2 linked regions of the Alligator mississippiensis genome follow. The protein of the gene in region 1 purifies or fractionates together with the protein of each later gene. This does not show direct contact. Links are inferred from orthologs where the notes say so. Each region holds a gene or a part of one and is shown on either strand. Other genes may lie near its edges.

Region 1 (7,035 bases):
GAGACAGCTGCAAAAAAGAAACCGAGTGAAGCAAATTAATTCAATTTTCCTTTGCAGCCAGCTCCATTTGTAGAGAACTAGTGAACCCCCCCCCACTTTCTTCAGTTTCTCTTTACAAGATAGATACCTACTGACACAATTTGAGATGTGTGCACTGATTTAGTGTGCCTTGATTTTTGAGTGCCCATCCTGAAAACTTTGCTTAATTTTTTTGGATGTTGGTCAAAGAGAGTTTGTGTGGGTGAGTGAATAAGGGTCATCAGAGGTATGCGTGGGCAGGAGGAAGACTGAGGAAGGATGCACAGCAATTTGGGCTTCAGGAGGAAGACTACAAAGGGTAAGGAAGTAAGGGCATAGAGAGGGAGAATATAAGATGTAGGAGACTAGAGGGACAGAGATGGAAAATGGGGGAGGGGAGGCAGATGTAGACATGGTATCAAATATAACTGAGGGGAAGAAAAGATACCAGGGAGAACAGGGCAGCAGAAGAGAGAGAGGGGCTGGTGGGACAGAGAGGGAAACAGCAGAGTGATACGGGGGAAAAAATAGGTTAAAAATGACAGTACCCATTTCAAGATTTTGAGAGAAAGTAAGAGGACCCCTCTTAAAGCCAGGATAAGAGGTGCCCTTTACTTTGTATTTAAAAGTGAATCAATGCTTCTAGCTTAGGGGTTTGCTGTTTCCCCCAAAAGGCTCAAAAATCACAAGAAGGACCAAAAATAATGTTTGCCAGGACTTTTAAACCAGTTGCATGAATTTTGGTTGGTCTGACTCAGGAATATGACTCCCTAGAGCTAGCAATGTTCATTCCTCCCTCTCTCATGTTGTTTGTTAAATATATTAACTTGTATAAAGGGCTCAGAAATTGTTAACATATATTCAGTATTGCCAAGCCTTGCCTTTAATGGGGAATCTCACAATATTTGATTTTATTCCAGCTTGTGGCATCATGAATAGCAACTTTCTTTTGAATCCTGGTGGCTGCAGGAAAAACCTTAAAGTATGAACCCTAAGCACCCAAAGGCTTAATGGGCGGCCCAGAATGTGTCAGTAGGAAGAAATCCTGATTTTTAAGTGAGCATCCTTGCTCTGGAGGGACCTGACTAGCCATTTTTGAACACTCAGGCTGGATTTTGATATTGTAGCCTGACAGCATTTTGGTAACACCCTTGGGACTTAATCATTGGCCAGGGCAGATTTAGATTTAGGGGGTGATTTACAGAGGAGTAGCTGTTTCCTCTGTCCTAACAGTGAGCAAATAAGCATAGGGCACCTGGCACAGCTGAAAAGCAAGGTGCTTTGCTAACTGGGAACACATACAATGCCCCAGGGAAGCAGCCAGTGCCATTGCATGTTTTGCAGGTGGGGAAGTCAAGGCATGGCCTGATACAGGGAACCAGGCAGTCAATCAATGCAAGCTGCTGTGGGGGCAGGGAGCTCAGTCCCAATGAAACTCAGGGTGTGTGTGACTTCTCTCAGGGGATCACCCAGCCTGGAGATGGGGCCAGACCCTGGGGGACTGCAAGGGCTGCTACTTGTCCGAGGGCCATGGGGTGGTTGGGGGGAGCGGGGGTTCAGCCATTGTTGCCAGTCCTAAATATGAAATTACATTGGAAGCTCAAAATTATCATATTTGCTGACAAGGTTCTTTGGGTGAATCTGATATCTTTTATTACACCAACTGAAATAGTTGGAAAACAATTATTAAGCAAGCTTTTGGGTTCAAAAACCCTTCATCAGGCTAAGGAAGTTTTAGCAGTTGGTGTGTGCTCTTCCTGGATGGAATGGAAAGTAAAGAAGCCAGAGGCTGGGCTGGTATGCATACAAGACAGGTAGTCAGTGAAAATGTAGATTGAGGAGTCAATGGGTGAGAGACAGGCTAGAGGGGCGGGGGGGGGGGGGGGGAAGAGAGAGCAGGGGGAATGAATAGTGGAGAGATACCTGGGGAGTCAGATGTCAGGCAGGCTATAATGTGTCATAAATCCGATGTCTATATTTAGTCCATGATTTTTAGTATCCAGGAGGTTGATGAAGTGGAGTTCATAGGCTCATCTCTGGGAAGTGTTGTGTAAGTTTCCCTTGAGGATCAGGACTGAGAGACTGGAGAGAGAGTGGTGTTCTTGTGAGAAATGTGCCCCCACAGGTAATTGGGTATTTCTGTCTTTGATAGATTTCTGGTGTGCATTCATTCTGGTACGCAGTTGTTGTTTGGTCTCTCCTATGTATTTTCCATCAGGGCATTTGGTGCATTAGATGAGATATATTACATTTCTAGAGGTGCAGCTGTAAGATCCAGGAATGCTGATGGCTCTGTTGTGGGGTGTAGTAATAGTGGGGGTGGTGGAGATGTGTTGGCAGGTTTTGCATTTCTTGTCATGGCACAGTTTGGATCTTTTTAGTGTGTTCTGGGCTTGAGGAAGTTTGCTTCTGGTGATGAGGTTGGCGAGGTTCAGTGCTTGTTGGAAGGCTAGGATGGGTGGCTCTGGGAAGATCTTTTTAAGAATAAGGTCTCTTTTTAGTATGGGTTGCAATTGTTTGAGGATTTTCCGTACAGGTTCAAGGGATGGGTGATACGTCATAACCAGCGGTGTGCGACTTTTGGGGGGTTTTCTTCTGTACTGCAGCAGTTCTTCATGTGGTATCTGGGTGGCTCTTTCAAATGTGTGATCTATCTCTCTGGAGGAGTGTCCTTGTTGGGTGAAAGCCTTTTTGAGATTGGTGAGGTGGCGATCCCGGGTGTTCTCTTCAGTGCAACTTTGGTGGTATCTGAGGGCTTGGCTGTGTATCACAGCTTTTTTGATGTGTTTAGGGTGATTGCTGGTTCTGTGCAGATATGTATGTTGGTCTGTGGGTTTCTTGTGTAACGTGGTCTGTCTAAAAAGGAGATGTTGGTGCTGAAGTATTGTAGAGAAAGTCGGATGGAGGGATGGTGATTGTTGAATTTCTGATGGAACTCATTCAGAGATTGTAGGTTTTCAGTCCAAATGATGAAGATGTCATTGATATATCTTAAGTATAGCAAGGGTTTGATGGTGCAGTTCTTGAGGAAGTCTTCTTATATTTGCTGAGAAACTATTAAACACTGGACAAGTATGCAAATAAGCATGTAACTCAGTCTTCTTCTTTACTTAATATTGCTTTCTGTAACTCACTGGTGAGTAAGTGAGATCTGGGTTGTCAAAACTGAAGCATTTCTTTATTTGGAGGCAAGCAGGCATAAGAAAGTGCTGACAGCAAACCCAACATTCAGTTAAGGCTCTCTGAGCGCATGAACGGCGCGTGCCCCTGGCGGCTGGGGGCACAGTTGTGCCGGCAGTGGCGAGGAGCTCCTGCAGATGCTACCGGCACTGTGGGCGAGGGTGGGGGCTGGCGAGCGCCAACCAGGAGTCGGTAACCACCTGCAGGCACCGCCGGCAGCGGCAGCCGGGGGCGGTCGTGGACCACCCGCAGACAACCGGCGACAGTGTGGCGAGCGGCAACCGCCCACAGACGCTGCTGACAGTGTTGGCGGCGCCTTTTTGCAGGGGGTGCACCGCCACGTGCAGGGGGTGCACTGCCACGTCTGTGCACGCCCTATGCGTCACCCCTGCCTGAGGGTGACTTGGGTTTTGCATGTGCTGCACCAAATAGCTGCCTCCAAAATGATCCTATGTTTTGAGCACTGTTATTGGTTGTACATTACACAAGGGTTGACATTACGGTACAAATATAACGATGGTACACCAGCAGCACCGGATCCAGCGCCCTGCGGGACAGCTGCTGCTTGCATCCGACGCCCGGCCCCGCCCCGCCCGCTTCACGCCCCCCAACTCCCACGCTCAGCGCGCATGTACAACCCCCTCCCAGCTACCGCGGCCGAAACTCCGACAGCTGTTGAGGCGGGCATGCGCAGTGCAACGGAGCGCTCTGCCTTGCAGGGAGCCAATAAAGATTCAACAAGACGTTCGGTCTGTCCCTCGGGGGGAGGGGGAGCAGGAGTACTAGTAGTGGCTGTGTGTTCGCGGTGCTCCGTGTGCCAATAAAGTTTTGCTTGCGGCAGCTCGCGGCGCTCCCGGCGGCCGCTCCCCCTGCCCCGCGGGGGGGGGTTGTTTTTTTTTTTTGAACAAACTTTATTGTTCCGCCGCGCGCGCGCAGGATGCGCTGAGGCCCGCGCTCGCTGCGCAGCCCGGCCTCGGCATGTCGGGCAGCCGGCAGCAGCCGCCGCACCCGCCGGGCGGGCCGGGCGGCGCCGCCGCGGGCGCCGCCAGCTCCGTCACGGTGGCCTCCTCCTCGTCCTCGGCGGCGGCCGCGGCGCCGGGCTCGTCGTCGGGCGGCACGGCCGGCCCCGCGCGGCCTGTGCTGGTGGCGGCGGCCTCGGGCTCCGGCGCGGCGGCGGCGGCCTCGCGGCTGGCTGGGGCGGCCCGGCCTGGCGGCGGCGCCGGCGGTTCCTCCTCGGGCGGCGGCGGCAGCAGGAAGAGGCCGCTGCTGACTCCGCTCTGCAACGGGCTCCTCAACTCCTATGAGGACAAGAGCAACGATTTCGTGTGGTGAGTGCGGCCGGGCTCCGGGGGAGGCACCGAGGCCGCGGCCCCGACCGGCTCGGCCCCCTTGTTCTGTCGCCGAGTCGCTTTGAGGCAGCGCCGCGGGGCCCGGCCCGTGTCAGGCCTGGCCCCCGCGGCTTTCAGGGGTGGCAGTTGTCGCCGTGGGGTCCTGAGGTCATGGTCCGGAGCCGCTGACTCTTGCCTGGGCCCTTGCCTGCTTCTTTGCTGCCAACCCGAGTACTTTGCTCTTCTCTGCTGGGCAGCTGCACTTCACCATCGTCATGGGACAGCATGTAGCGTGCGCGGCGGCGAGGAAATCATCTGTTGGGCGATTCTCAACCAAGACCCTTTGTAGGGTGCCCTGTGGGGGACACAGGCGTGAATCGCGAGGTTTCACATGGAAAGCCAGGAGTTGTTCTCTTTCTGAGGGCTTTGCAGCAGGAAACCTGCTCTGTTGCTTTTCTGTGGTAGGAAAAAAAAAAAAAGCGAAAACGAAGACGTCATGTTTTCCAAGGGAGGCCTCGAGTCTGCCCATGGGTGCCTGGAGTCTAAAAAGGTTGAGAACCACTAGGTCAGGAGTTTTCAACCTCTTTGGATCAGCAGACCCCTGGCAGCTGGACACGGAGCTGGGGGTGTGCAGCCGAACGCAGAGCAGCAGCACCCGCCATGTGTGAGCTTCCCCCACCCCCTGCATCCAGTTGGGCAGGCGGCGGCAGCGAGGGACGGTGCATGGTGGTGGTGCTCCATCCCTCCCTGCCTGCCCGCCCATACCCTCTAGGGCCTTCTCAAGTACCCTGACAACCCCTGCACTAGGTTAATGCTACCAGCCCTTGTCAGTGGCTGTCAGCTGGGCACTTTCAGCAGTTGTGAGCTTGACTAGGTCCTGCCAGTTTCAGGCGTAAGGGGTTAAGGTAAGGAAGGGGTCTTGAAGAGGTTCAAAGAGCTGTTCTTACCTGAATTTGTTGGCATGTTAAAGTAGTGTCTTTAGTATTGAAACTAATGGGATTTGGCAAGTGGTTAGTGCCATTTGTTTAGTTTTAAATGGCTGTCCCTGGTGTTTTTAGCCATCTTAACTGGCTAATATTGTATACATAGGCCCTAAAATAGCAGAGTTGTGGGGCATTTTTAGATTGGCTCCAGTCCAATCTTCTGGTTAAAAGCAAGGAGATAGCATTTACAGCCAACTCTGTGTTCTATACTGGCTAATAGCAAAGGCGTCTGTACAACATGAGGCAGCACTGTACACAAGCTAGTTCTGGAACCAGAAGTAGTGTCACCTTGTTTACATGACGCTGTACCCAGTCTGATAGACCCTGCATCTGTGCTAGGTCACATATCTGCACAGCACTGCCTTGCATCAAGTAGGTATTCTCAGTGTCTTGTCCCAGTAGCAACAAACGGTTGTATTCCATGTAGCAAAAACTTTAAAAAGTGGCCTTCAGGGGTATCCTCAAGTATAACGTGCTTCAATAAACCAACCTGAAATTAAAATAGCAGGGATCACTATGGTGAGACCCACATGTGGGAAGAATGTTTATAGCAGCTTTAAATGGGGAAATTAGATTGGGTAGCTGTTTCCTAATGGCTTCTGACAGTTAGAAGTTGTACAGCATTGTTAAAGTTCAGTTTTACACATCTACCAGAGAGTGCTTTTGCAGCTGTTGTCTGTTCCGTATATTCTTCACCCTACCCATCAGTAGCTTTCATCTTATCTATGTTGAGTCAAAGTCATATCACTCACGGGTATCTCCCTCTTTGACAACGTGGAGAGACAACTCTGAGACTATAGCATTTGCACTTAACAAAACGAGATCTTGAGTATTATCTTTTTAACACTAATGTTGCAAACTTATATGCCTAGCTTTCCAAATCTTTTTAAGTATTGAATGGGACTGCATATATGAGATGACCTTTATGGAGGAAGAGTAAAACCTCTTAACCTTCTTTTTGAGTGGTCCTAAGAGATGGTGAACTCATGAAGGGGTTTCCTCTGGGACTCTGAAGTTGAGTTACTGGTGTTGAAGGCGGCTGATGGATCTAACAGAATGGGCATGAATTGCTGCCCAGTGCTGGGAAGAAATGATTAACCATAAATGATAATTTCACTTATGTCAAACCAGCTACTGAAAGATAAGTAGGAAATGTGAACAGTGATGAGTTGACCATGTACTTGGAATTGTTTAGATGTTTGATGCTGTCTTTTCAATGTTTCCCCAAATAGTGAGTTAACTTGTTGTTTAATACCACAAGCTGTTTCCTGAGCCAAGGCCTCATGATCGCTAGCTTAGGGGCTGCTACTTTCAAGAGAGGTTGATGCTTGAAGCGCCAGACCTTTTGTTAAGATCTAACAATAAAATGTAGCTGCAAAAGAAGGGGCCTTGTGTAGTACTGATTGTGGGATATTGATGCTATATTAATTGAAGCCCGGGTTCTTCACTGAATGCCATGACTGGTGGTGTGTTAGGTTTTTTGATAAGATTTCTTACAGGACTGTCCTGCTTGGGTACTGGCTTTT
Region 2 (6,986 bases), on another chromosome or scaffold:
CCATATATATGGAAGCAGCGTGGGCTACGCGTGGTCCCGGCGCCCGGCTCGCCCCCCAGATTGCCTCCCCCCCACCCAAGAGACAAGCGTGCAGAGATTAGCACGCTTCGAGGAGAAGGGGGCTGGTGCCTCTCTCGGGATTATAGATCCCGTCTCAGCCAAACCTGGCACGTTATTTGGGTTGATTGTCATTGCTCGGTGATCTCTCCCCAAGGCTGGGGGAGTTTCCCCCTCTCTGAAAAAATGCAGAAAGCTGAATCTCACATTTTAAAGCCTTGTTAGTGGGGGTCGGGGCGAACTGCCTGCCAAAAAGAAGGAATGGACTGGTTACTGATTTGACTCGTGAAATATCAGCCTGGAAAGACTTTTAGGACCTGGCAGTACTTAAAAAAAAAAAACCCAAAAACCACCAACCCCCCCCCCCCAAACGCCAGAGCTCAGCTCATCTGTGTAATACCCCCAGGACATGACCCCCCTTCCTTCATACCTATTAATGGTTGTAAATGAACAAAGCCTTTTACCAGAACAACACCAGTGTTGGCCTAAAACCTTCCTTGGGGTGTTTCTTGGGGGAGATCTTCCTCGGGAACTATATTGGGGCGGGGGGAGCAATTTTCCTCCAGGGTTTGCTGCTTGTACTGCAATAACGCGCCTTGTGCCATTAGGGGTTCACCAGGGAGTGGGTTACAGTGAGTCTGGCAAAACTTCCCTGGGCTAACTTTAGCCTCTGTGCAGTTAGCTGGTTCCAGAATTAGAAAGGGGGGGGGGGGGGGAAATCTCTCTGTACATTTTCGTCTTCAGATTTTTTTTTAACGTAATGAAATTAAAACTTTTGGAGCTCACAGTTGACGTTTTGCAGAAAATTGAGTTATCAAGGCAGTAATTATTTCACAGGGAGATAAAACTCTCATAGCCCTAACTGTCAAATAGGGCCCTTTTCAGATTTTAATTACAAAATAAAATTAGTCTGCTCTTCCTCGGAAGGGTTTGTGAGTGGCTAAACAGAGCTTTCCCCAATACTGGTGGTCGTCAAACTCTGCTAATTAGCAATGCTGAGAAATTCCAGTTAACAAGGACATTCTGTAAGTCTCTGCAGGTTCCCCGCCGCTCGCCTTCATTTCCATAAGAAGATTAAGAGTGGAGGGGAACACACTCAAATGCAGATGCAGAAAAGAAGCGTTTTTAACAAGCATCATAATAGTAAGATGCTTGGCTAGTTCTCACCTAATTACTGCAAGTTAAACCTCTATTTGCAGCTAAGGACAAAAAAAAAAAAAAATCGAGGCTGCAATCTTCCATCTCCACCAGGCTGCTTAATAGTTTGCTTTAGATTTGTTACTAGCAAGGTCAGTGCGAAAAAATTATGTAGATATCCCTGATGTTATAGTCCCCGATAGGCTGCATCTTCAGGGCTTTTAGAAGAAATTGGTGGGTGCAGCCCGGGTCCGCACAAGAAATAAATAAAAATCCAAGTCGTTAACATCCATTTTCTCGTTAATAAGCTCATCACCCCCGAATAAGCGCGAACCCGCCTCGGACTCCCGCGCTGAGCGCGTTTGCGGACTATTTGTTTAATGTGAGCACTTTTCATTTCCATAAATTATACCAAAGGCAACGATTTTTAAAATCCATTCAGATTAAACCATGCCTCTCTAGGCCTCCCTTTTAAAAATCTCGATCTTCTTCAATAGACCGTTGTCGTTATTGTTACTAATACTGAAGCTGGAGGAAGGCTCTCATTGTTTTTTTACATTATTTAAACGAGTAGCCAGGAACCCGGTTTATGGAGCCAGAAACGTGCACGTAGGAAACGGAGAAGAACAAATTGTGAAAGAGCTATCACCTTTATCTTATTTTTCTATAGCGCATTATTATGTATATATGCCAGAGGCAGTTTATTGCATTGATAAGTAAAACACGGTTAATTAAAATAAAGCTGTAAATACTCATGATAACACAATTGTTAGGTATTTCCATCGCTTATTTATATGATAAATGCAATTAACAAAGAGCCAAGCCAGCCACTTTAACCTCTTCAATGTGTTATTAGAGAGTTCAGGCACAAATATATGCATCTAGTTACGTGTAAAATCTTGCCTTGCCTTTGCTGCAGCCAAGGCTCACACACAGACACACACACACTCCCAACTGATTCTGCCTCTGTAACTACAGTAGAGAACAAAAATAAGACTTGCTTGTCTAACACCAACCATCAGTTATCAATTTATTACGATAAACAAACACCACCACCCCCTTCCCCCCTCCCCCAATTTAATTATCCATAAGGTTTTTTGTGTGTGTGTTTTTTGGAATAATGTTATCAAGTGCAGCCCCAGGCGTAAACAATACCAAAGTAAATAGTTGCGTGCCCTCAGTAGCGTCTGGACAATCAGAATTCGTTTCTAGCTTGAATCTCATAATTTGTACCTATTTTCCTCTGCTTTAACCTATCACTTATCTACGGGCTATATGTACATTTTCGAATTAAACGCATTAAATCTGATAGGATTTATTTACATAATCCATAAAAAGATGCATCCGTGCTGTTGGGGTTTGTTTTTTTTTTATTACTTAGATTACATATAATTATTTCCACCCCCCCCTTTCCTTTTATTATTTTTAAACATTTCATTTGAAAAGTGAGAGCGAGCCTTGCCTGGGAGCCGAGTCTGCCAGTAGGGGGCGCACCAGCCCCATCCCTGAAGCCCCCGCGCTCGGAAAGTCCAGGGCAGCCTCCAAGTTATTTCTCACCTCCCTTTGTGTGTGTGTGTGTGTGTGTGTGTGTGTGTGTGTGTGTTTCTAAATCGTTCTTTCGGCACTGGATTTAATCTGATGCAGACCTGAAATCCAGCAGATTGTACAGTCCGCGCACAGCACCAAATACAGTCAGTCTCGGGAGGTTTTCAGTCGCGCCAAACTTTCCTGGGGAGGCCGCGGGGCAGGCTCCGAGCCCGGGGCGCAGGGCGGAGCGCGCCCCGGTGCGGCGTGCCCGTCCAGACAGCTCGCCACGTTTTCAGCCCCAGGAAGAGGGGGGCGAAGGGAGCCCCTGCCCGTGGGAGCACTTCATAAAACAGAAATGGCGTGAGGCTTCCCCCCCCCCCTTTCTTTGTAGTCAAGTGCATTTTAGCAACAAAGATCCCAACAAGAGAGTGGAAGTAAACTTAGCCGGGCCTTTGTTTGGCCCCGTGTAGCGACAACAAGAGAAACAAAACTACCTATTTGTAACGGACGTGCTGCCATCTCTCCCCGCCATTGAGCTCCCACCTATTGAAGTCTTTACGTCGGGACAATGGGGCCGAGTCTAAAATTACCCTCCCGAGCCCAGGGCGGCTTCCCACTCCCGCGTCCTGCCCCTGCCGCGCGGCCCGCGGCCCGGGGAGCAGCACGCGGGGCGCGGGGCTGGGGCCAGGCGGGGGTCGCCGCAGCTGGGGGGCGGCCCCCTCCCCCGGGGCTGCAAGCAGACGCCCGGGGCATGGCGGGGGAGCTCGGCCCCTTCTTTCTGGGAGGCGCAGGGGGCTTCCAGGCTGTGAATGGAGCCGGGCTAGGGGGAGGGGAGGGCCTGCTCCCCTGCACCTGCCCTGCACAGGCCCCTCCGCGAGAGCCGGCGGTGGGGGGAGAGGCAATGGCAGGCAGGGGAGGCCCGCACCCAACACACGCAACTTTGCGGAGGCCTCGCGCTCCCCCGCGGCTTTCCCCCGCACCAAGTTGTGTGTGTGTGTGTGTGTGTGCGCGCGCGCGTGTTTTTAATGTAGCAACAATGCTGTTTACCCACTTCCTCCAAAAGGCGTGTGTGACCTGTTGCTGGAAGAGGCGCGACAAAGCCTCGCTAGTGGCTGCCTGGCTCGGCCGAGGGCCCGCCCCCCGTCCCCCCCCCCGGGCCGGCCCGGCGGCGCCCGCAGCCCCCGCCCCGTTTCATGCAAAACCAGGGGTAGAGGCTCGTCCTCAGTGGAGGAGCCGGCGCGCGCTGATTGGCCGGGCCCAGCGCATTTATTCCCTGACAAGCCCCCATCACATGGATGGTTGTCTATTAACTTGTTCAAAAAAGTATCAGGAGTTGTCAAGGCAGAGAGAGAGAAAGAGAGGGAGAGGGAGAGGGAGTGCGCGTGTTTGCAAAAGGGGGCAAAGGAGTTTGCTGGCTCTTTAAGACCGAGGTGGAGGGAAAGCGCTGGAGAGAGGCAGAGAAAAGGGGCAAAAAGGAGAAAGAAGAAGTTTGGGTTTTTGGTTTGGTTTTTTTTTTGTTTTGTTTTGGTTTTTTGGTTGTGGTTTTTTTTTTTTTTTTTTTTGCAAAGCCAGGCTGCAGCAGCCGCCACCGCCACCGGCCTGATCCCTCCGACAGGCAAGAGGAAGCCCCTGATCCTGATCCAAGCGCGGGGTGTTTCGGGGAGCCCCCTCCCCCCCTTGCACACCCCTCCCTAGCCGGAGAGAAAGTCCAGCTCGGGACGTTTGCTTCTCGCTTCTCCGCGGAAGCCTCGGGCCAGGCAGAAGCCGCTTGAATGTACAACATGATGGAAACCGAGCTCAAGCCGCCCGCCCCCCAGCCCGCCTCGGGAGGCGGCACGGGCAACTCCAACTCGGCCGCTCCCAACCAGAAGAACAGCCCGGACCGGGTCAAGCGCCCCATGAACGCCTTCATGGTCTGGTCCCGGGGCCAGCGGCGGAAAATGGCCCAGGAGAACCCCAAGATGCACAACTCGGAGATCAGCAAGCGGCTCGGGGCCGAGTGGAAACTTTTATCCGAGGCGGAGAAGAGACCCTTCATCGATGAAGCCAAGCGGCTCCGCGCTCTGCACATGAAGGAGCACCCGGATTATAAATACCGACCCCGGCGGAAAACCAAGACCCTGATGAAGAAGGATAAGTACACGTTGCCAGGGGGCTTGCTGGCGCCGGGCACCAATAGCATGACCACCGGGGTCGGGGTTGGGGCCACCTTGGGAGCTGGGGTGAACCAGAGGATGGACAGTTATGCTCACATGAACGGCTGGACCAACGGAGGGTATGGGATGATGCAAGATCAGCTCGGCTACCCCCAGCACCCGGGCTTGAACGCGCACAACGCGGCTCAGATGCAGCCCATGCACCGCTACGACGTGAGCGCCCTGCAGTACAACTCCATGACCAGCTCGCAGACCTATATGAACGGATCGCCCACCTACAGCATGTCTTACTCCCAGCAAGGGACCCCGGGCATGGCCCTGGGCTCCATGGGCTCTGTGGTCAAGACGGAATCCAGCTCCAGCCCCCCAGTAGTTACTTCCTCTTCCCATTCCAGGGCTCCTTGCCAAGCTGGGGACCTTCGGGACATGATCAGCATGTATCTACCAGGTGCTGAAGTACCAGAACCAGCTGCCCCAAGCAGACTTCATATGTCCCAACACTACCAGAGTGCACCTGTTCCTGGCACAGCCATTAATGGCACACTTCCTCTATCACATATGTAAGACAAAGGGGCAGGGGGGGAAGGAGAGCTGAACTCCAACCAACAAACAAAAAACTTTTATTAGAGATTCTGGACTTTTTTTTTTTTTTGGACTATTTTTGTACAGAGAAAACTGGGGAGGGCAGAAAAAACAAAACAAAACAAACAAACAAAAACTAACCCCGCCGAGGACCTTGTATAGATCTGAAGGGGAAGAAACTACACAAAACTTTTTAAAAGTTCTAGTGAAACGGTAGGAACTTTGCAGAAAGTTTGCAAAAGTCTTTACCAATAATATTTAGAGCTAGACTCAAAAAGCGACGAGGAAAAAAAATGTTTTAATATTTGCAGGCGACTTTTGTACAGTATTTATCAAAATAAACATGGCAATCAGAATGTCCATTGTTAATATGGGGGGGAAACACTTGAGAATTTGCCAATTATTTTTTAAAAACAAAGTAGAGTTTACTTGGAGCCGCGCAGCTGAATTATAGCAGCTGCCAAAGGAGTGGAGATTTATTTTACAGAATTTGGACATTTTAATTGTTTTAGAAATTGTACAAAAGGCAAAAAAATGTAGGATAAGTACTTGCAAACCAGTGAATTGGTTTTCTATAAAAGGGCAAACGTTTAGATTGTACTAAATTTTTTTTACTTGTTAAAAAGCAAAAATTGCCACTGCAGGTTCACATACCGTTTGTTAATTTATAATAGCCTTTTTGTTTCCAGAATTCATCCTGTTCAGAGAGAGAGAGAGAGACAGAGAAACCACACACACAAGCTGAAATGACTGTGTTTGAAATATTTTCTTATGGTTTGTAATATTTCTGTAAATTTATTGTGATGCTATTTTAAGTTCCTTTTTTTTTTCCTCTCATTTTCCGTAGTTGTATTTTAAAGATTCGGCTCTGTATTATTTGAAATCAGTCTGCCGACAGTCCATGTATATATTTGAACTAATACCATCCTTATAACAGGTACATATTCAACTTAAGTTTTTACTCCATTATGCACAGTTTGAGATAAATAAATTTTTGACATATGGACACTGAAGTTACGCCTGAGTCTTGCATTTCTTTTTTGTAATACGAGCTGTTTTGATTTTTTTTTTAAAGAAAAAATAATAATAATAATGCAGTTCAAGGTCTGACCGTAGTCAGCTGAGTGTGGTCAGTTCATGACAACACGGTGTAAGTAAGTACCGCGCGAAAAGCTCGGCTCTGGCGCTGGAGAAGAGCAGGGCTCGGAGTAGGTGGAAACTGCAGTCCTCCTTGCGGGCCTGAGAAGCGCGCGGTGTAAGTGCCAGCCCGGGAGACTTGTGCCGAGGCGAAGGGAGGTGTGTGGACTTGGTGCTGAGACCACTTGTTGCCGCTGGGCTGAGCTGGGACCTTGCACTTGGTGTCAAGTGAAACGGGCGCGCGTGGCAGGAGCGGAGCGAGTGCGAAGGCAACAAGTAAGCGGCGTGGCTCGCGGGCTGGCTGGGGGCACGCGGGCCGGGCCGCAGCGGAGCGTTGTGCCGTCGCGCCGGGCCGGGCGGGGCCGGGCCGGGGCCAGAGCATCCCCGCCG

What was found. Proteins that work in one complex are often made in the same cells at the same time.
Region 2: the proteins of COP1 (region 1) and SOX2 purify together in Homo sapiens (affinity purification with western blotting; 3 studies listed by BioGRID). This does not show direct contact. The link is inferred for Alligator mississippiensis from reciprocal best matches to the Homo sapiens genes COP1 and SOX2.

Annotation. Positions count from the first base shown.
Region 1 is NC_081828.1:49,407,989-49,415,023, reverse strand, and holds the start of COP1 (E3 ubiquitin-protein ligase COP1), read left to right. Parts: upstream 1-4,009; 5' UTR 4,010-4,176; coding exon 4,177-4,526; intron 4,527-7,035. UniProt on the Homo sapiens protein: E3 ubiquitin-protein ligase that mediates ubiquitination and subsequent proteasomal degradation of target proteins.
Region 2 is NC_081830.1:81,639,437-81,646,422, forward strand, and holds SOX2 (transcription factor SOX-2), read left to right. Parts: upstream 1-3,999; 5' UTR 4,000-4,493; coding exon 4,494-5,441; 3' UTR 5,442-6,472; downstream 6,473-6,986. UniProt on the Homo sapiens protein: Transcription factor that forms a trimeric complex with OCT4 on DNA and controls the expression of a number of genes involved in embryonic development such as YES1, FGF4, UTF1 and ZFP206. Binds to the proximal enhancer region of NANOG.